Linked DNA regions of Oreochromis niloticus. The protein of the gene in region 2 interacts with the protein of the main gene of each other region in a biochemical or structural test. Links are inferred from orthologs where the notes say so. Each region holds a gene or a part of one and is shown on either strand. Other genes may lie near its edges.

Region 1 (11,230 bases), on a different chromosome or scaffold from region 2:
TGAGGAATACAGTCGCTTTAGTGCAAAGCCCAGCCAGCTGAACAAGTAGACAGTTTTGCACCCATTCATTTTAACAAGTGCTATCCAAAGGCTGCACTCAGTGTTATGGATACAGTGAAATAGTTATTCCTTTTAATATGGTCTGAACTGGAGGTGGTCTACTATAATACATGGCCCTGATACAGTGTTAGTTGTCTCCCAGGTCAAAGGAAAGGCAAACCTTAGTTTGAGGTAACACAAAAGTAATCTTCAAAAACAGATTTTGCTGTTTTTTTTTTCCTTTTGGGGCCTCAGTGTATTAATATTGTGGTCAACACCAATACTAAAATTATTTATCCAAACTAATAACCAGTACAAAACCTTTGCAGTAAAGCTAAGAGGCTTTGGGGTACCGTCAAGTTCTTCTGACTCTGACCTTTCAAGTGTGGTGAGTTTAAAAGCCCACAGACTATTATTAAAGGATCTGTTATGAGATATTTCTTGTGTGTCATGAGGGTCCATTTCATTACTAGCTGCAGAATTGCAGCCAAGGGGCGTCATGCCAATATCTACCAAGAGTCTCTCAGGACTGAAAGGTGTGTTTGACTATGTCTGCCATTTCTGCTTTTGAAAATATTCATAGACAGAAATGGTAGACATAGCGGTCATAGCGGCCTCTGAGACAGAGAAAAAAAGTATTTTCTCCAATGGTACAGTGTAGTAATAAGCACCGGCAGGAACAGTGTTAGAGGTGCAGGTGTTGGAAACAGGCAATAATGATGCTCGTCTTTGTGTGGTAGCTATGTCTCACCTGCTTTCAGCGGGCATTTTATGCCTGTTTTTTGGTTGGACTCACGCACATTGCTACAGGATGTCATTGCTGTGCTTCTACGGTTCTCCCCACTGTATTCTTTGTTCAGCAAAGGCACTGTCTGTGCTGTCAGGCTGATTGACTACTAAAAAGTAATGATAAAGCACAATAAAGCCAGTCATGTGCCAGTCAAAATGTCCACAGATACCAATGTTTGCTCTCATATCCATCTTTTCTCTCCATCTTCCCACTCCACTCCTTTTGTTGATGTCACCCAGTTCGCACCACAACATTGCCCATATCCCCCTTGTTTCTTTATTCCTCCCTCCATCGTCCGCACTGATGAGAGCCTGCATTTTTCCCTACCCTTCCTGTCTTTTGTCCCTCCCTCGCTCCCACCATTCCCACTCCCAGGCTCCCAGCCTGCCTGCAATTGTCTCCCCTCCCCCTCCCTCGGAGCTCCATTGTGAGTGCTTGGTTCAGCAGCCTCAGCCTCTCCTGCAGTATGCAGCGAATGCCTCGTCTTTTCCTTGTGCAGCCTGAGCTAAACGCAGCACAGCCTCCCCCTTTTGGGCTCGGGGAAAACAGAAAAGTAACTGCAGGGCCCAGGCAGGAGAACAAGACTTGGACTGACTCATCTAAGGGGTGTCAGAATCCGAACGCTCACTGACACCCATCGATTTGTTTCTTCACAGCTGCAAATCTGCTCACCTCCTCTGTCTCTGCTCTCGTACGTAGTCTTGCTCACATCCTCTGATTTGCTTTAGGTAAACAGCAGGCACGCTGGCCGAAAAACCACGCTGACACTGCAGTTTTCTGATAGGCTGCATAGTAACGACATGTACACCTTTGGCAAGTGCTGAGTGCAATCATCTGATTTACAGCTTTTCTTGCAAAACCTGACACACATTCAGTAGAAGGAGAAGAAGAAGAGCCACAACTGGAGCATCCTGCAAAAATGGCATCCTGAACACTTTTAACTTTTATTTTGGCATAATGACAGAGAAGTTTTCAGCACTGTCATGTGAACTGTGAACATTTCTATTGCTCTGTTTCAACTGTGGCATACTTTCTGAACTTTTTATACTTGTAAACACCTCAGTTTGAGCAAAACAACAAAAATCGACCCCCCCTGTGTTGATGAATTTATGTAACTCCTCCACCCTCAGGTCCTTTGATAACACCTGAGTTTCCACGGTGACCTTTGTTGTCTCCTAATTATCTTCATATGCAGTGTGAGAAGATTGCGATCAAATCTAAAACAGCTCAAAGTCTTGCACGCAGCTATCTGTAAAGGCAAATAAAAGCTGCATATTTGTCAGATCAAATCCAATTACATAACTGCATTTCCCATGCTGCAGGCATATTGTCACTGTTTGTCTGTAGTTGTAAGCAATACTGCGACTCGGGGGGGAATAAACTGGCACACAGCGAGAATTTCATTTTTTAAAACTAAAATAAATAAGAGCATGCTATGAAAGATGTCCTCGGAGCACATTTTTCAGCTTTCTAAGCAGTTATATCTAGGACATTACTAATAGTTATGTGATTTTAAGTGTGACCACTTACCAAGCACGTCTTAATCTACTTCAGGCTGGCTAAATAAATCTTCTCTCCCTTACTTGCTTACATTTTTTCACAGCCAGTGTTTTCCATATTTTTTCCTCTCTTGTTTAATTATCCATCTTGAGACAACTGTTGAATTTAATTCACCCAAGTTAATAACTGAGCTGTCATTGTAATATGGATTATTAGCACCAATCCACAGCTAGGAACAATGCTCAGCTGGGGTCACTGGGTGATGGCAGACTGTGCCAGCGTTCCTCAGTAACCCATCCTCATCTAATGATGAGTTTGACCTTCCATAAACGAGAGCAATGACAGACAGGCCCTCAGATGACTGATGTGGATATTTAAGTAACTGATTGTCAGGAGGAGGAAGGTTTTTTTTTCACCTTCAGACTCGCTACCATGAATCTCTACAGTAATTTCAATTATTATTTTTTGTTGTTTATCCATTCCTCTCCTCCCTGTGGTTTCATTTGTAATGACTTTGCTGTTATATAGCATTGCCAGCTGAATATATTTAAGACTAGGAGTGCTATTTGGGCAAAACGGGACATTTAAAGACATTACCACAGACTGTGTGAAACTGACTGGAGTGACCAACCAAATAATGGCTAGAAGATAACATTCCCTACTTTGCTGATTAATAAAGCCTGAAATCCCTCCATTATCTCAACTTAATGCACTGCCTTATTTTATTACATAACAAAGGATTATTGCACTGATGCTCCAGACTCAGCAAAACAAAAACAGAATGGTGGAAAAAAATGAGTGCAGTGGTGCAGCATAATATTAGTCTACTGGTGACTATTTCTATTGATGATGCTCCGTTATATAAACAAGCTGCCTCACTGCTAGTCAATATCACATCAAATCAAACAGACTGTTTTTTTTAAATATGAATTTATATAATGCTGGAGCTACTTTTGAAATTCACCAGAGGTGTTTTGGGGGGGGGGAGTTCCTTTTTGGCAGCTAAAGATGACAAGGAGGAGAAAGGGTAGAACCTTTAGCCTATTTATCCAATAAAAAAGAAATAAAAAGCAACTCTTCAGCTGCTGCGGAGACACCCATAAAAAAAGCTTTGTTTAACTGTTAAGCCTGTTCCCTGCAGCACTTTCACAAACATGGATGGAAGCCTGCTCCTGAATAATTCAGCACACAAGGTCACGGCACACAAAAAAAGAAAAAAAGAAAACTCTATTTCCCTCCTGTCATGAACATGAAGAGTTTGTTGTGATCCCTTCAAACATCTATTGACTCCACTGCACAGCACAAAGCCAGCAATTAGTCCATGACTATGGGCCTGCACAAAAACAAGAAATAGTAATAGAACAGAGAGCCCTGCTCATGTCTGCATACCTGTGCAATCAGTGCAGTAGGTGAGGTGGGTTTGCCATGCCTTCCCAATGATCGAGCACTCAGGACAAAGCTGATTTAGAGAAATTACCTTCCTCTGCAGCTTCATCTCATTTAATCCACTACACAGCATGCAGCCCACATTAGGGCTGAACAGCACCTCTCTCTCTCTCTCTCTCTCTCTCTCTCTCTGCAGGATTAGGATTATTTGAAGTTCAGCTTTCATGACAAACAGCCCAGAAATTACTTCAACTGTTTCTTTTCATATACACTATAAACAATCACAGCAGCAAAACCACGACTCTTAGAGACACCCATATGGGCTTATAAATCACCACTATAGCACAGACTGTTTGCAGGAGGACACAGTTTTCCAGCACTTATGAAAGACATGAGGCAAGCCCCCCCCATCATCTCTGTGAAGTACTGATGGTCTGCATAATGCACAAGGTGCGCAGTTGACTTGTGAGGGGGAGGAGGAGGGACAAGCCCTGCATGTAGGCCTCCAATATGTAGCCTGTGTAAGGCTATGAAGAGATATGAAGAGCATCACTCAGTCAGCATCCAGTTTCAGCCGCCAATCAAACATACATAACGCCGACTAATCGGACTGTGTGGATGTATGGAAAGGGAGGTAGCCTGGATACCCCCCCCCCCCCCCCCACCCCCACCCCTCTCTCTCTCTCTCTCACCCAATTTGGATGATGTTATTATCGATGTGCGTTCAAGGCAATGCAAGATGCGAGATATTTTGTCAGGAGAGGGCTCGCGTCGTTATGAAATCCCCCACAGCCCTCTTAGTGAATTATAGAACAACACACGCTGCTATGAATGACTCAAGATGGGGTTGATTATTTATTTATTTATTTATTTATCAATCGCTGTCCGTTTTCCCCCCTTCACTGAGGCATCACTAGTGGACTTCATTAACCTTCCCTTCCGATCAATATTCATCACTCCACCCTCCGGCCAGGCACGAGATCCAAGCATCGCATCCACACTGAAATAAAACAAATCCGTCCGGCCTTACCATTCCGTGCCAGTTGATGACGATCCCAGTCCGGTGCCTGTCCTTTTCAAAACATCCCGACGGGAAACACTGCGGAGACCATAGCTGAAGGCTTCATGAAAACGTTCATTGATGTGAGGAGGGAGAGGTAAAAAGGGGTCCGAAAAAGAAGACGAGAGAGAAAGGGGGAAAAGAAGCAGAGGTGGACCGAACCGAGGCTTGCTGATGCTGAATCACTCTCCCTCAGCTCACCACCTTGCAACCATTGTGCTGCAAGATGCTGGCTGTACCATTGTGGACCTCACCAGAGCAGAGAGAGAGAGAGAGAGAGAGGAGAGGGAGGGAAGAGGGGGGAATGGGGGGCGATGTTGCCATGGCAACCGAACAGGAGCACGTCTGACGTCAAAGCCAGGACAGAGAGGGGAGAGGGAGAGATCACATGGAAGCTGTCCCCCCGGATGGGAGGGGCGTGTTAGAGCATCTTCTCATCCCATCCTGTACCGTCCCGCTGGTGCGGTCACGCAGATCGTTGAGGATATGAAGCTCTGTTATTGCTCAGGTTTCCAGGGGCGTGTCTGCTGCCAGCCCCGACTACTCCACTCATCTGACCACTTCAAACAAACTACTGCCAGTTCTAAGAATATATGCAAGGTACTACAGATACTACCAGTACAGTGTTATTTTTTTAGAGGAATAGTTTTACACACACAAACACATTAAACAAAGCAGACATTTAAACTGTTTTGTGAGCTTTGTGAGGAGGCTTCCACACAGAGATTTCTGCATGGAAACCTGCATATGTAAATTAAAAGGGAGAGGGACCAAAACATTGAATATTTAGCCTAAGTGAGATTTACCAGCCAAGAAGTAAAAAAAAAAAAAGAAGAAGAAGATAAGGAGATAATCACATCAATGTAATAGTCTCAGCCAGACCAACTCTGGAAAAATAGTCTGCCTCTGCCACTGGTTTACTTTGTTAAATGCTTATCTTCCATTGCTCATTTTGTTAGCTGATAAAATGTCTTTTCTTGTAAAAACCAACCAAGCAACCAAAAAGAAAAACAAAAAATCCCTTTCTGTCATAATTTGTCAAAAATCCCTCCTGAACCAAGCTGATAAATGCACCAGCTTCACGGAAACTCAGAGGCAGTGGTTGCTGTTTTGTTTTGTTCCCAGGCTTGTGGAACCACTGAATTAACTTACTGTAATCACAAACTAGCAAAATACCAGCATAATCTGGTCTGATGCCTCTGAGTGAATTTCAGTGTGTGAGAATTCATCACTGTCGAGTACAGAGGCCAGGTCTTATAAGTTAAAAGGGCTTTGACACAACATTGGGGACAATAGGGGGATTTGCATGTAGAGCTTCAAAACATCAGTCTGTATACATTTACTTCTGAAGTGTCTGAGACAATTTATTGCCAAGCTTTTATTTTAACTCAACACAGATAAAGGACCAAATTTCAAAGTAAGTGCAATGGAGGGTCAGATTTTTTTAATGCTTTCCAGCTGGAACCAAAGGCTAAACATACTGGAAAACCACCACCCTAACACACACACACACACACACACACACACACACACACACACACACACACACAGCCAACAGTTCCAGGTGCCCCACATTCAAGATTATCATGACAGTCATATCCACTCTTTCAGGGTTTTAGTGCAAATTACCTCAAGGGCTCAGGCCAGTGCCAATAAGGAGGTATTAAGGACAGTACTGACAGAAATAGCAGGAAGAAGAAATCTAAAATTCAGAACTCCTTACTAAGGCTTAGCGAGAACTTGCTTATCCAGACTCTGTCCCCAGATGAGGCCTCTCTGCTCCAGGTAATGTAGAGTGATTAAAGGCTAGTCAGTCAAAGGAGACAACAGGTACACAACAGGACATTCCAACGGCTGTAACGGTTTATCATAACAGTGTAACAAAAGTGGAAAAAAACTTAAGCAGCCTCCCCAAATATTACATGTTTTTAGAAGGAAAGCTATAACTAACTAGCTAACAAATGATTGAGTATGATTCTGAGCATCCTCAGAAATGCAGTGAATTGAAAATAAAGAGACAATCTTATCTTCTGTCACATATTCTTTGGTGGGCCAATCAAAGATGCTGTTTATCTTTGCAAATATCATAATTTTATCGGATTATTGAGGGCGTCATAATAGTTAGCCATAATGGTTAGGCATATCATGTATTAATGATTGTTGTTCTGGTTTGGTTGTTCTTGTTCTCCTTTATTTATTTATTTTTTACAACATATTTGTCTCTGTTACTGAGTTGTTGTGCTTGGTGATCTATAGTGCTGATGTTGTAAGATCCCCACCAACAGACTGTTATACGAATAAAAGTATAACAATTCCTACAAATAAGACTAAAAATATAACGAATGCATAAAATATTTGTCTTATTGCATTCAGAAATAGACTAAGTATGCACCTACAGAGACATGCCTGTGCAAAAAATGAAATGGTTTATATGCAATGGCATCATCTGCTGAAATGATAATACTGGTTTCAATCTAAGTGGAAAATCAGTGTCAAGTAATCAAGCCTTATCACTGCAGGCAATGGCTGGTGATAATAATCATGCCTTTGAGCACTAACAGGCACAGGCAGGCAGAGATAACCCTTGGCCACAATCTGGCTACTAAAGGTTGTAATGAGGAATAAATGTCACAAGATGGCGCAAAGTAAACCACAAAAATAGCCCATCAAGACAAGAGCACCTATAGGAAGGAAGTACTCAGCAGTGAATTGCTTCCTGACTGCTTAGTTGACTCATTTTGATGTTATGGGATATACAGAAATCATGGTTAATTTTGGAATTATTTTAAACAGGAAACAGGTCAGGTCCGTCGTAATTTCCCATGGTTTAAGAACTGTTTAAAAAACACCCTTTCAATTATATTAAAATACACAAGATTCACTACTAGATTCACACATATACCATACATAACCCTATGGAAGTGGTGTATTTCAAAGAAATGTATCTTAAAGTAATTAAAAAAAAACCTTCTATATTATACAACTATTAAATGTATCTCAGTGGACAATATTTAATTTTATAAGAGCACTTTTTAAGAAACGTCGGGGACCTGGATACATACTCTGCTTCCATGACTTGGTACTGTGTTACTATAGGAACGGCTAAATGACAGTCCCCTCGCGGAGAGCCAATAGACAGCCACAGTAAGGTGTCTGGTTACTTCCAGTCAGCCCACGCGCAAAGGGAGGAGTTGTTCCACTCCTCAGCAGTAATGGTAACTTGGCTTCTCTGGTGGTGAGAGCAGTACTGTTTAGTGGCCAACAAGCGCAGCTTCTGAGGAGTTTCAGAAGACCAGATTTACTTTTTTTTTTCTTTTTTCATTCGCTGTGGCCAGCTTCAGTGGAAGTGGATTTTTATAGGTGACTGCTCCGCGGAAAGGTAAACCTGTTGCCTCTCCGCCTGTCTGCCTGCCTCGCCGACAGCTACGATCCAAGATGTTGCTTTGTGGATGGGATGGCGTCTGGTGCCGTTTGTATGCCCACTCATAACCTCGTCCGAGCACCAACATTTCCCTCACAGCTGATTTTGTAGCTCGTCTCGGCCGGTAAGCTTCTTATGAACCGCTCAGAAAGTGATGTAAACAAACTTTATAGTGTCCTAGCTAACTTTAGCCAAACCGGGATAACCGAGGGATTGAGTAACTCGTGAGGAGCCTCAAATACCGGAGGTTTTATGTCTTTTCCACCCCTTTTTTAAAAACTAATAACAAAACTAACATCGTCAGAACTACTAGCTGGCTGCGCTGTTGATATTTAACTAATATGTCTCGACCTTAAAAGTTATGCGTCATGTCTTGTTAACTTAGTCCAGAATCCCTGACAAATGGAGCATCTCTAAGCTAATCACATCGTATTGTAATTTTGCGAGGGTGGAAACACCACCTCAAAAATAGCACAAGACTAGCAGACTGACTTATTTCAAGTGATTCTACCTGGACATTTTTGGATAATTATGAGAAATGCGAATAACATTTTAGCGTACACTCTCCTTCTAAACCCTAGCAAAAGGTGAAGCGGTATAGTGTCTCTACAGACTGAAGGTTTTATCGGGGAAGGCAGCTTGGCCCCCTTCCCCCTTAACTTCACCGCTTTTCTATGGTAATTAACCTAAGGTCAGAGGTCAATTTGCAGACGATCAGGTTAGGCTGTGTGCCTGACCAGGTTTAAAGTGGCTATAATGGGGCACCGTCAAGAAAAAGAGGAAAAAATAGGAATATAGACAGTGGGTTGGGTTTGTGTGTGTGTGCTGGGAAGAGGTGGGGGGGAGCTGGAGTGAGGTTTTTTTTTTTGCAAAACCATGCTCTGCATGTCACTGTACTCATAGCAACCCTGTGATTAACAGAAATGGAGCGGATGAGGTCGAGACCAAAATGAGAAGTGAGGGCTGTTGGTCCAGAGCTGGGCTGATATTCAACAAAATAGTCTAAGCTCTCTTTTCTGGTTCCTACCCTGGCTTTGTTCAAAACAAAAACAACCAAAAAACAAGACAAACACCAACACTCAGAGATGATTAACAGGACGTACTTGGAAGGTACTGGTCCCATTGCTGTAATTGTCAGCATCCCTGTTTAGACATTAATAAGTAATGTGGAAAAGCATGTCTACTGATTGTACGTCAGTCAAAAATAATGAAAACTCACCACTGGGTTTTCCCATTTTATTTAGTTGAGTCACTCATGCTCTGCTCAGTTTCTTTCATAAGCAAACATGAGCAGGACACAGCTGTGAATACAACTGGAAATTAATTTTTGCAGTGGAGCACCACATCAGCTACTTTAACAGGTAGTGAAGGTTGAGGTTTTCAAACCATAATTCTGGCTTAAAGTTGCATTTTATGAACTCAGTAGCTTGCAGCCTAGTTAGCTATGTATGAATTCTCATTGCTTATGTCATAAGGCGTGTTCGCGAAAGATATCTTGATCAAGCCTTTCTTCAAATTCAAAACACACACACACGGGTGTGTTTTTTAAATACGAATCATGTGCTTGCAGGCTGCACAGTACAGTAAGATTCAGGGAATAGAGGTTCACTCAGAGTTTGGTACTGAATTTTCCTGGCATGTAAAACCTTCAGGACGATTTTCACCTCAGTGCTGGCGCAGGGTAACCCCTCTCCCCTCCCCACCACCTCTTACCAGCTTCTGTTCCAGATGTGCTTGCCAGCTGAGACCACAGCTCTGATGTTTGGAGGATATGAACAAATTCCTTCTCATATCTTATGAGTTGTGCTTTTGGAAGGAAGAGTGGAATCTGGTGCTTTTATGCCACATTGCCCCCAAAGTGCAGCTAGGCTTGTTTTCAGATGATTTCGAGCAGGGTTAGGTTTTTGTTTATTGCTGAGGGATGAACTTGGAAGACAGCAGGAAAACTGGAATTATGTGTGCTTCTGTTATTTAGCTGCAGGTGATTCTTTTCAAATCCATTTTGTGGACTGGTAGCCGTGACAGCGGAAGGTGGGAGGAAAGGAAAAGTGCAGAGTAAAGAACATTATCACGTTTCCAAGGATTATTTTCTTCAAAATCCTTGTGACTGTAGCCAAGGCTTTTAAACATGAACAGCAGCAGACTAATCTTTGTTTAGTTTCCCCTTTTTTCCTAGCTATGGTATGGGAATTCAGAGGAATATCTGGGAACAAACATCTCCACAGTTTGAAAAACAGAGAATGGGGCGCTGAGGTGGTGAAGGCTGTCTGGTCTCGCTGTTTTGGCCCGCTGCCTCCTAAGCACCCTCAATAATGAGCAGGACCGTAGTCCAATGAGAGAGAGGAGCTGGCCTGCACAGCAGCCTGAGTGAGGATAAAAAACATTCCACTGTAGGTCTCTGTTGAAATAACAAGGGCCACAAAACAATCGGGCTTCACAGCACCCGCTCTCCCCATTCTCATGGGTAATGAGCAAGATGGGTAGTATCCCACTTCGCCTCCAACTTCACGCCTCCTGATGGCTAGAATGGTTAACCTGCATTCCTGCATAAGAATTTCGGCCTGCTTACTCATTAACCCTCTTTTCCAGACTAAGATTCACTGAAAGGAAACTGTTTCACATATTATTTTCAGAAATAAAATACAGCGCTAGAACAGGCTGGTGACCCAGTTTATAGCAGATGAGTTCATAGTGCCAGACGTAACAACACTGGTACACGGCTTTTCTTTTGTGATGTCTTCTTAGGGGATGGTAATGGTTTCTGTAACACTTCTATCCCCAGAGAGTTTCATAGAACCACAACCATGTTGGATTTTTCATATTATCCACTTAAATGGGATTTGCTCACAATTTGGTGCGACTTTAGACCGATGGTCTTTGACATTTCTCCAGCTGACCTAAGAGATTAAGTAAAACCCTTTTTACTCTCTCTCATCCTCACACATAGTCACCCAACAACACTCCCTCAGTTGTCATGAAAGTTTTAGTCCAAGGTCTCTCAGTTCCCTGGTGACAAAAAGTGGAAAAATGGATT
Region 2 (12,008 bases):
CAGCCTGGGGCGGACTCAAACCCAGGACACTGCAGAAAGCAGTACAACCTTCGGTATAAGGGTCACCCTTTCGGCCAGGTGTCCTACACCTATGCACAGCATATGACGTGACGTCTATGCACTCACTCTGGTCAGAATAGTTCTTTGCCTTCAGCTCCAGCTGTTTCCCCTGTAGCTCCAAAAACTCCACCTGTATCTGCAGGTCCTTCTTCTCGGCCTCCAGTGAATCCTCAAATTCAATAAATTTCTGATAAAAGGCAAACAAGAGAAAAAAAATAGACCGAGAAATTAATTCACAGACTCTTTTAAAAGTGAAAGGTCATATAAAATTAGTATTTTTGTTATAATTCATATGAAGGGAAACAGCATATCATTTTACTTCATATTTTCTATGAATTACATAATTGTTCATCAGCTTTACAGCAGTGTGTTTTCAGGATACATCGGGGCTTTTGTGCACGTGTCAAAAAATGAAAACCGAACTCACTTTACATGGCCGTGTGGTTATATGTGCCAGTAGTATCTGAGTATTATGGTAAAAGTATTTCACAGTTTGTCTCCTTCAGGTCTGTATAATAAATTTATCTCACAATACATGCAGAAACACAGAGCTGCCTACTTCCCCCCCATGCTGCCTGTTTCATTTTTTTAAATAAAGCTGCTCACAATGACGTCCTTTTTTCTGCAAGTCCACAAAGTCTTAATACGGTAATCCTCTGACTGCAGACAGACCTTGGAAACACCAACGTGCAGCAGATACACGCCACACAAAATAGCAAGCACTGCAACACAACAGCACTCTGAAAAATACAACCAGTGCTGATGCTGTACCTAAAGCATTAGTTGCAGGGAGTGAATCGGCAAGAACAACACTTGTCATTGTAAGACGATCCTAGTTTTTCATATGTATAAAAAATCTCCACGGCTACAGGGTGAGGTCACTGAAACGAATTTAACCAAGTTTAATGAATTACCGAAAATGTGGCAAAACACACCCTGAAACACACAGCAGAGTAAACAACACTAATGCTGTAGTCTCCCTGCAGCTTTAGCAGAAGGAGAACGTGAAATTCCTGAAGAAATTGCAGAGTGATTGCTGCAGCATTCTTGTAGCTGCTGCAGTTTTTGCACTGTACTCATGGTGCAGGAAGAGTGAACCTCCAGCCCTGTCACTGCTCAACATCCACAGCTTTAACACACTATAGATTCAATGATAAACGACCAAGTTTACACATCAAAACACTGTCTTTGTGTCATACTAGATGTCTTTTTTCTCGCTGAAACAAAACACAGCAATATCTTTCGTCCTGCCCCCCTCAAAATAGGAAGGTGCCCTTCAAGTCCACCCCTCTATTCCCCATGCCTTTATCTGCACGAGGCTCCCAAACCCGTGCAGGTAAAGGCACATCACTTTCCATTAAAATGCAGTGTTAGTGAGGCACGGCTACAGAAGCAAGAAAAACGCGGTGCATTCTCATAAATAACTTTAAACTGTGCGAACAGCACTCAGACAGGTAACGTGACACAGCGTAGGAACGAATGTTTGCGTGGTCCAGTCAGAATAATTCTCATTAAGCAATCCTGCGATGCGTGACGAGTGAAACTAATGAGCTTTCCTGACAAACTGACTCTAAGTGTGACTGCAGTGTGGTCACACGCTCAACTGTGACCACACTGATATCTGAGGAGTTATATCTGAGTGATATCAGAGGAGGGTGTGAAGTCACAGCAGCATGAAAATACAGAGGACAATCTGAAATCTTTGAAATTATTATAAAATCTAGAGGTTAAGATAACATGTGGAACTTAGCTGGTTAATCCTTTGTATGTAAATCACATTAAGAGAGATGGGGAAAAGATGGTTGGAGACAAACATGGGATCTTTTAGCAGGAGATGCTACAAAATGGTTAAATTTGTGCTTGTGGGTATCTCGGTCGAACGCTTCATGAGTAAAAAGATTCGGCTGTTAGCTCTAATAACTTTATAATCTGAGCTGCCTTTTCTGCTTGTTGTTGCCCATGTCTTGCAGGAGGAGGCATTATTGTTTTCCTCAGACTCTGTTTGCTTCTTTTTCCTCTTATTATCCTTAGACTCTTTTCGATCTGGCCTGGGCTGGGCTGGGCGTTTGCTCGCCTCTGCTGTAGCTTCATATAACCCTCAGTCTGTTTCTTTCTCTCTGCTTTTGTTATTCTCACTCTCTCTCTGCTTCTCATAAGCACAAATCAGATTACAGTCCCAGACTCCCCCAGTGAGCTCTGTGTGCTATTGATTTCCTGTGACTTCTACCCATTTGCACATCATCCCATCCCCCTCTGCACCCCAGTGATGGAGAAAACTGTCTGTTTATTTGTCATCTAATGTCACCAAACAAGTACAGGTTTGTGCAAAAGTGTGGGCAGCCCTGCACGAAACTTCAAATCTTAAATACGCGGTGTCTTCGAGACAGCTTGTGCCAGAGGTGCAAAGAAAGATTTGCATGTGGGTGAAAAAAATCTAGGCAAGGAAAGAGTCCTAGCTGACCACAAAAAGACGATCTGATTCCTATACTGTGACGTCAGTGTTTTGGTTTTTTTGGCACACATATAAATAGCATGTAAAGGCATGCATTGTTGTTACAGTTTTCCTTTTCAGTTTCTGCAGAGGCACGACTGATGGCTTAGCACCTACTTTAACCTGCAGCACATGTTCATTTTCAAGTACTGGCCCTACAAAATCCTATTTTCACCATAAGCATTTTCTGTCTGTAATGATATTAAACTGAACCTTTAATACAAGGCAGCTTAAAGTGAAAACAAACTAGATAACTAACAGAGGAGACGCCGCTGGGGAGAGCAGATGACAAAGTGAGCTAAAAGCTGAGCTAAGCTGACACCAGCAGGGCCGCCAGTGATACTCTGAGGCCTCTTTGGATGGGAGGAGGATTAAAGTTGCTTTATGATGCCTGCCTGCAGGATCTCACTGCTGCTATGACACCACTCAGGTAAAAACAGAGGAGATAAAAGTAGCTGCAGGTGGAGTCCAGTCTGTAATTTAATAGCCCCGTATTGAAACACACTTTTTGTTGTTTGTGTTCCTGTTCTTTCACTGTTTTCGAGTGCAAACGCCCACACAGAGTCACGCCGACTGTGCCTTTATCTTCATGCATGTCCTGCTATCATGTCCTCCCTCACTTTGTGTTTGCATACTGTGTTTTTGTTATATTTGCATATACTTCTGCTGTGCTGTGTTAATGTTTAAGGAAGGAGCACTTAAAATTCCATGTGTGATGATGGTGGTAGCAGCACTGTTAGCAGTTAGCTGGCTGTAATTACACCGGTGGTTGCAGCAGTACTGGCAGGACAAAAGTGATAATAAAAACCTGTAATAGTAACAAAGCTATTCACTTTAACTTTAAAGTTAAACAGCAATATTTGGAAAACTTGTAGCAACAGAATGAATCGATGTTAGATTTTAACTTTATTTCATAAAGAAAACTTTAATCTGATGTTGATAAACAGACAACGAGGGTAAAACTGTAAGATGTCTTTTGTCTCGATGCATGTGCTTAACTTCAAAAGTCAGAAGGGGGGCACTGCCCACCCCCAGAAATATAATTGTCTCAGACAGTTCTTACAGTACAGATGAGGGCTGGAGTATAATGAGTGATGGCGTATTACGTGTAGCACATTTACTCAAGTACGTTACTGAAGTTTTGCTGGTTCCTATTTCCACTTGACTATATTTTCAGTACAGTTATTATACTTGTACTCCATACCATTTAATTTACTCTAATTTAGCAGATTTTAAAATCTAAATCTATGAATCTAAAAATCTGTATTATTATTATTACCATTATTCATAAAACCCCCTGTAGCAACGTGATTACATGATTAAAATTGTCTCCAGTCATAAGATTAAAGTGATAAAGATATTATACTATGATCCGGTAATGCAATGTTTATGATTCTGCCATAAACCCATATTTGGATTCAGGATTACAACTTTTACTCACCTACAGGATCTAAATACTTCTTTAACACGTTGCAAAAACATTGTTTTAAACCAAAACAATGGTTTACCTTTATAATAACACCATCTGCATGAGGACTCCTAGTTGATAATTATGATAATTGTGCCCAGTGTTTTCAACACTGCTGTGCACCCCTGCCTTGGTCTGGGCCTCCTGATTTCAGAAATCCCGGAAACGTCCCTGTTGTTTACCTGGTTGACCCTCTTTAAAAGAAAAAGAAACTTCCAGTGGTGTCTCTATACTGATTTAAATATCCTTAAATAACGTAAGCAGTGTGGTTAGGAGTGACTGCAGTGCAGTGACACTAATAATACGTTTAGCAATCCCTGTCACAGGCCTAAACATGAGTCACATGTGCCTACAGAACAGGACGACTGGAAGTGATGATAATGAAGGGCCTGCGGTGCTGTGTGGGGAGCTCTTTTAACGCACCTCCTCCGCCTGCTTGCGCAGCGCTTTCTCCCTCTCATACTGGGTGATGAGCTGCTCGTTGTCCTCCTTCAGCAGCTCCAGCTCCACCTCGTGCTCCTGGTTCTCCGTCAGCACCGCGTCGAGGTTTTCCAGGACGTTCACCACAAGCGGCATCAGCTCCTTCACCACCTCCTCGTCGTAGCTGTGTATCAGCCGCTCGAACTCCCGGTAGATGCTGTTTGCCAGGCCCGACACCCGCTCCGACATCACGGAGCCGGAGCCGTAGTCGTCCTGGTAGACCACCTCGTCTAACTGCAGCTCCATCATCTTGGCAGCTGTGGTCCAGATGAAGCTGCGCCTCCTCTCAACAGTTTTTCAGGCCCTCCTAAAAGGCGAGGGTGTCACCGCTTTTGAATCCGCTCAGCACGGGGGAAGGGGCACATTCAATCACAGTCTGCCTTCAAAAAGGAGAACAGTCATGCCATTTTGCAGCAGGTTTACTGAACGGCGGCAGACTGTTGTGTGCGCATAACCTTGAGTCCCCTGCTGAAAATATCGGTTCTAATAAACTGATATGAATAGGCCCCCTCCTCCACCTCCTCCTCCCGCTCCTCCAGCCAGTTACGGGCTATCGCCTCCAGTCGCGGCCCTGTTATCACTGTCCTCCGGCAGCAAGCATCAGATCCTGGGCGCTGTGGATTGGCACTGGGCCAGCCTGTAGATCGTCCATGTCGAGGAGCGAAACGACTTCGTCGATGGTATTGCACCTGCCTCTCAGCAGCCTCAGCCATGGACCCCAGCCATTGCTGGCAGGGAAAATAAATAATTAATAAATAGGTAAATAAATATTCTAGTTAGTCTTCCCGATCACCGCCGATGGCCGATCCCCCACTATAGTCTCGTTTTATCCATATCTTTTCCTCTTCCGGCAGGCCGCCGATGCTGTTGGCCAGACTCGGGCGTTTTTTGGTGATGTCTCCCTGTGGGAGAGGCTCTCTGTGCTGCTCAGATGGAGGAGCCAGCTGACCGACTCTGGCTGACGTCACACCGTCTGCATAGAGCAAGCAGAGGCAGTGCGTCAAGTCAGGAAGGCGAAACCGGATGTTGGCTGCAAAATTTCACAATAAGCTGCATAGGTTAGAGCAGAGGGGGGTAATGCTTGGACACTGCTAGCATAATGGACAGGTTTTTGACGGGGCTCCCACACAAACGCAAAGCAGAAGATGAAGCATCGCCAAATATGTTTCCAAACTAACTTCCTTCCAAGCCAAATACTAGAAAATATGATGAGGCATATCTTGGTTTTGGCTTCACCTGCACAAGTGCCAAGGTAGGTCTCCCCAACAGAATTAGTTTCCCTGCGTCGGGAGCACACGCTGGGCTCTCCAAATCACGGACAAACAGTATGCCACATTCTTGATTTTTAGTTCACAAACACTTCTTATAATGACTAACTACTCCTGACATTTTGGAGTACAGTAAAGTTATAGTGGGACACAAATAACATCAGGTTGATCCTGTCACAAATCACGGACAAGCAGTATCCCACATGTTTTGCAGAGAGAGGCATGAAACGTGTTACTTTGTGTCTCTGTGCAGGCCAGAGCCTATTATATGCCGCAGCCTAAAAGCAGCTGAGTTGCAGAGGCCGGAGTGATCACTGGCTATCTACTTACAGCCAGCTATGCCACAACTGAACTGTGCATTTTTAAAATCTTGTTTTTAATAAAAAAATATTTTCATTCCAAATCTTTATAGCCTATAGCAAATTTAAACAACAGAAGCTGACCCAAAGTCCTTTATGAAGTTGTACCAAAACGCTTTATTTTGCCCAAAAAAGGTGATTCTTACTAATACATGCATTTGAATGGCGTTCTCGCTCAAAACAGAATATAGTTTTTCATTTTGTGAATAACTTGAAAATCTTAGATCAAACAGCTGCAAAACCTGTTTGCACAACGCGGGGGTGTTGAATTCTGTAAGATTCACCCATAAATATGCATGTCTGAGTCGTCCTTCAATAGTTACAGCTATCTTTAAAGACAGCACATTTACGATCCACAGTATCAATATACAAGAAAACTGTGTTAACTACTATATTACTGTGGGTTGTTAAAATTACAACATTGTTGTGGTGGTGTTCATGAAAATGTGTTCAGAACTTGGCAAATGTACGATGATTCAGCTCATAAATAATAACACACTGCTCTCCCCTACATAAGCTCCCTTTATAGGTTAAAAGTATCGGTATCTGCAATACTGCTCTTAATTTACTTGGTATCAGATCGATAACGAAATTTGCAGGATGCACAGCACTGCTGCTGATGAGTAGCAAAATAACTGAATACGTCAGGAAATAGTTCTATAAATATATAAATAAGTGATTAAAATATAAATCGACTAAGTTTAAAATGCTCTGTATTTCTATTTTCAAATAATTAATTACACATTTTTAATTAGTTCCAGTTTTATTCCAGACCCCAATATACTGAGGGTGGGCTTGCACTTTGGGGGTCCCCGAGTTGCTCCCCTATGTATTTGCGTAATGACCTTAACTGCTTTCATAGAGAAACACCTTATAAAAAGCCTTATAATTTAACTTATAACTTTGATTCTTACAAGTGTGGTGTGTATTGTCAACATAAGAATGTACCGCATTGGGCACATTTGACCTCCGACCTGTCCATTTGATTTCTCATCTAGACCCTCTAGTGAGGGTCTAAAAGATCATAATGTTATTTAAAGCTATGTTCCTTACTGCCATTGGCAACATTTAGGAGATTATATACCAATATATGTGGATTCTAATATCACATTATAGTTTACATACAAATATCCTGTCATCCTGTATCTCTGTGAGGTCAGAGGTCAAATTTACAAATGAATACCTCTTATCTGTGACCTACTCCTACATAAAGTTTGTGTAATCAGAGTAAAACATCTGCCATATTTTAATACAATAGTTGCTACTAAAATGTTTGATTTTGACTAGAAGACAAACACACGTGTTCAGTCTAGGCTGAAAATGTAGACATTTGTGTGACAATGAAAACATGCAATATACACAATATAATCTTTTTAGGCCTTTATTAATTAAAAAAAAAAAATCAATTTAGAGTGCCCAATAAGATAAGTTGTGTACTAGTTGACAAAAAACGCCCCCCAATAATCTGACAATTCCCTCTGAGCAAGCACTTGGCGACAGTGGGGAGGAAAAACTTCCTTTTAAAAGCAAGAAACCTCCGGCAGAACCAGGCTCAGGGAGGGACGGCCATCTGCCTCGACCGGTCATGGGATTTTTAAAGTGACTCATTGGATGTGAAATAAATTGGCTTGTTTGAATCATTTGTTGTTAGCCGATTTAAAGAGTCACTTTAATGTCAACTAATACACTTAAACTGTCCAAATAATTTTAAACAAAAATTTAAGCAATCCTGATGGATTGCTCAGGATTGCTTACGATATATTAATGTTGTTTTGTCTATGTGTGAACGCGACAGCTCGACCCACAGACGAAAAGAAGCTTCCGATGAAAGTTTGGCTTTCTAATATAGTTGCAGCATGCTCTCTGAAGACCTTAATAATGAGATTGTGAACATGTCTGTGGTCTAATGCCATGAATCCCAGTATTACATCTGGGTCTTTCCACATCTCTATGAGAGAACTGTACACCATATTACTGAGGAATATCACATGTTCAGGGGGGATTTGAATCTTTTTGATTCGAGGCCAGAGTTTACTGAACAGCTGTTTGGCGATGGCATCAGCTTTTTGAGAAGAGCAGGGTGAGTCGGCATTTTCGACGACTTGCTTCACCAAGTCCTCAACACAGATTTCCACAGAAGACCTGTATTTTTGAACCTCTTCAGCCGTACTAAGGGCTGGATTCTGCATCGATTCGATCAAGTGTTTTTTAATTATATTGATCGTCAAGTTTTGCAATTTCGGGTCCTCGTCATTCAGTAACATTAAGATATGTTGTTCTTTGCAAAATGTTTTGCTACGGAGCTCTTGGTAAATGGCCTTATCAAGACCTTTTAATTTTTTTTCATCTATATACAGGTCTTTGATGTTGACATCAGACAACACGCTACTAACAAGTTGCTTGTGGAGTTTAACCGAAGGTTTGTAGCGGGAAGTTTTTGCAGCATGTGAGAGTACGCTATGAATAAGTGCGCTCACATGCTCTTTTTCGTAAGGCTCAAGAGAACTGCCACTATCACCAGATGGTGATTTGTCCCCCGGTATTGGAAATATATCATTTTCAAACTCGTCCAAAAGTGTTTGGGAGATCTTTCTACTTTCTGGTATTTGGTCTCCATCGTCCTCTGTTTTTCCACACCATGCCAGTAACCTTGTTAGTAGGTTTCGCTTCTTTCGGAACAGGTGCTGTTTGAATATAGAAATGACTACTTGTTGGTGCGGCGGAGCCACACCCAGTGCAATGATAACAAGGTTAGGTGTAATATTCAGCACCTTTGTAATGTCTTTAAAAATTGCTTTTTGAAGACGTTTGATACTCTTTTCTTTTATATTTAGAGTTTTTTCTTTAAGTTGCGCCCACAGAGCAATGAAGAGACGGTGTTGAATGTCATCGGATGGCGACACCTTTGCCTCTCTTGAGGCGCGTGTAATTACTGCATTTACGAGCTCTTTAACAAGCAGCTGTTCCTCTGACAGTGGAGCTTCCACTGTCACATCATCAGAAGGTGCAGAGGGCTCAGCCTCGCACACGTCACACTCCTTCTCTTTGGAGTCCTTGGTGGGCTCAGGCACTGGTGCATCTTTTGGCCCCTCCTGACTCAGTTGCTGGGTGCATGAATGGGGGCAACATGCACAGTGCTCCGATTTCTCCCCGACTCCCTGTAACATTGCCTCCCCGGAGTTGACAACTTCCCCTGGGACGACACCACCCTGACAGTCCTTGATCATTGCCATGAGTTCCGTTACGCTGACGTGAATCAGCGATGATGTAATGCTGCCAAGTGACTGCATGGTGTTTTCATCTGGGCACCCTGTTTTCAGTGCACTCCACTGTTTGTCTGACATGGTAAGAAAGAAGTCCCTAATTTTGGCTTTTAAATTTTCCCTAATGTCACTGGAAGAATTCATCTTTATATTTTCAGGTCTAACTGTGCCACAGTCTGGAGCTGTTTTTGTGTTTTCTGTACACTGTTGGGTTTGACTGTCAACCATTAATGCTTTTTACTAACTAACCCTGTATTGAAGGCTATATTTATGGATTTTAAGACATTAAAGGATCAAAGGATCAAAGGGATTCTAGCGCTAAGCTCCGCCTACATGACGGTGACGTGCCGTTACCTATAGCAACCGCTATAAGCTGATGATCAGCGACATAGCTGGACGGTGATTTTTCGTCCTTATGGGCCGATGACTTATGGCCGATGTGTAAAAATAACTCAGTTGTTTGGTGGTGGCTATAGTGGAGCTTCCACAGAGGCCAGCGGGTGGATGAGGGAAGGAGAGGCAGGAGGAGCAGAGACCGAGGCGGTGAACTGAACTTCAGGTAAGAAGTTATGACCTGCAGTCTATCTGGGTCAGATATAAGCCAAGTTTAGGTGGAGTTTATTTTCGTTGTGCTGACTTTTTACAGTCAGTTACAATAACTCATACTGTGTACTAGCTAGCATGAGGGAGTTTCTATCCGGTTGTTCAGTGATGACGCGACGAATCCTACTTCCGGGCCTAAAGTAGTCTGCGTTTAATATGGCTTTTGTGTTGTTAACATGTTTAATGCTTTGTATTTTCTTCTATTTAATCTCAAAAAGCTCCTAAAAACATTCAGTGATCACCGTTGACCTCCCTCGGCTTTTATTACCGCTAATCATTTATTTAAGCTCAGTTTTTAAAACCTTACGATGTAACTACAGCACAGCCCATGCAGCAGTATATGAATAACTAACCTCGTATTGTGGATGGATTATCTCAGTTGTTCTCCTGGCTGAAGTTTGGTCCGTTTACAGCATCCTGCCATGCGATTACATTTGTTCCTGACCACTGAGAACACTCACGTTAACTTTTGTCGAGTGGAAAAAAAGTTAGCTTGTTTATAATATGCTAACATAGCTGTGTTGCTAGCGGTCACGTAGCACATCGTTATATACCAGCTAGCCAAACTTCAGTAACCCTACAAACGTCACTGCTGTTTAGTTTTCTGTCTTCATTTATGTTTGAAGTGATAGCAGAGCTGTACGTTTGAATTTGTTTTTAAACCCCTGCAGTCAGGACATGCTATATTGTATTTAGATGGAAGCTAGCGAGCTAACTTCCTGCTAACTTCTAACTCCGTTAAATGTCATAAATTCCGTTTTCATGGATGCCTGGATGTTAAACTCAATTGTTACACCTGGTAGAGAAGAACGCTGATCATTTTATTAAAGATGAAAGACTTTAGACAGTGTTTTAACTCTCAGTAATGCCACAGTGATCATTTGATATATGGACCTGCAGCAGAGTTTAGGCCCAGACACGGCCAGTGACGTCAGACTGAACAACCGGATACAGCTGTGTTGGTGCTTTGATGTTACTGATAGTGAACTTTTTTATTCATTTTAAGCTTAGTAGTCGAGTTGCCAACCGACCAGTAAAAATGAAATCGTCCCGCATTTAGAGAAAATGTTATGCGTTTTGTATTGAGGTGAAAAGGAACACAGTTTGTCCCGGGCTTCAGCTACAATGAAAAAGACACAAAGCTGGAGTTATTCTGTCTTTGGTGCACAGCTGCCTCTTCTTCTCTCATTCTCTCCCTCTCTCTCCTGTTTCTACTTCAATCATGAAATTGATCAATGATCAGCTGATCGGCTTTTCTCTCTTGTTTATTTATCGCCCACTTTGCCCCAGAAAGAGGAAACCAGTGGTAAACAACAGCAGCACGTTTAAGCTTGATCGGCTGTTGTTAGAATTTATTTAATATGACTTTCTAGTATCAGCTGATGTTTGCTGGAGCCACAGCTGTAAAGCTGCTGGTCATGATATCAGTTTGGATGTGTGGTGAGAGGGAAACATGCAGATGAAACCAGGAGATGTCCTTACTGAATCATCAGAGCTGAACAGGTGATGGAGAAACAGGTTTACCTTTTAGGTGACATGAATGAGTTGAAGGGAAGTTATGAACTGTTTCTGAGAAATAACACCAGGATCCTTTTCTAAGTAGCTGACAGCTGGTAACTGTGCAGGGGCGGGTCTAGCAAAGATTTGCCAGGGGGGCCAGTTAGGGTATTAACAGGTAAAGGGGGACACAAAGAAATACTTTTCTTTCTTATTCTCATTTAAAATGTCTAGCTTTTAATAAATAATTATCTGAATCTTACAACCGAAGTTTTTATCTGATGTAAAATGTATAGAAATCATACATATACCAACATGACGGTGTACATCACTGTCACAACAGCGTCTATTTTCATTCAAATGCTTTATGGTTTTTCCTATAACACCTGGTGGGCCAGTCTCTAGTCTAAATGCCCGGGCCGATTTTTTGTCCCAGTCCAGCCCTGATCAGCGATGATCGTCAGTTGTTGTGATTAAGTGAAAGTTGTGTGGATGTCAAACATGTAGCGTACTGGTGCA

The links.
Region 1: the proteins of mapk8ip3 (region 2) and mapk10 form a complex in vitro, tested with the Homo sapiens proteins (3 studies listed by BioGRID, with this or other methods). The link is inferred for Oreochromis niloticus from reciprocal best matches to the Homo sapiens genes MAPK8IP3 and MAPK10.

What each region holds. Positions count from the first base shown.
Region 1 is NC_031972.2:17,602,253-17,613,482, reverse strand, and holds the start of mapk10 (mitogen-activated protein kinase 10), read right to left. Parts: upstream 5,058-11,230; 5' UTR 4,749-5,057; coding exon 4,746-4,748; intron 1-4,745. UniProt on the Homo sapiens protein: Serine/threonine-protein kinase involved in various processes such as neuronal proliferation, differentiation, migration and programmed cell death.
Region 2 is NC_031969.2:14,098,093-14,110,100, forward strand, and holds the start of mapk8ip3 (C-Jun-amino-terminal kinase-interacting protein 3), read right to left. Parts: upstream 5,420-12,008; 5' UTR 4,749-5,419; coding exon 4,443-4,748; intron 248-4,442; coding exon 127-247; intron 1-126.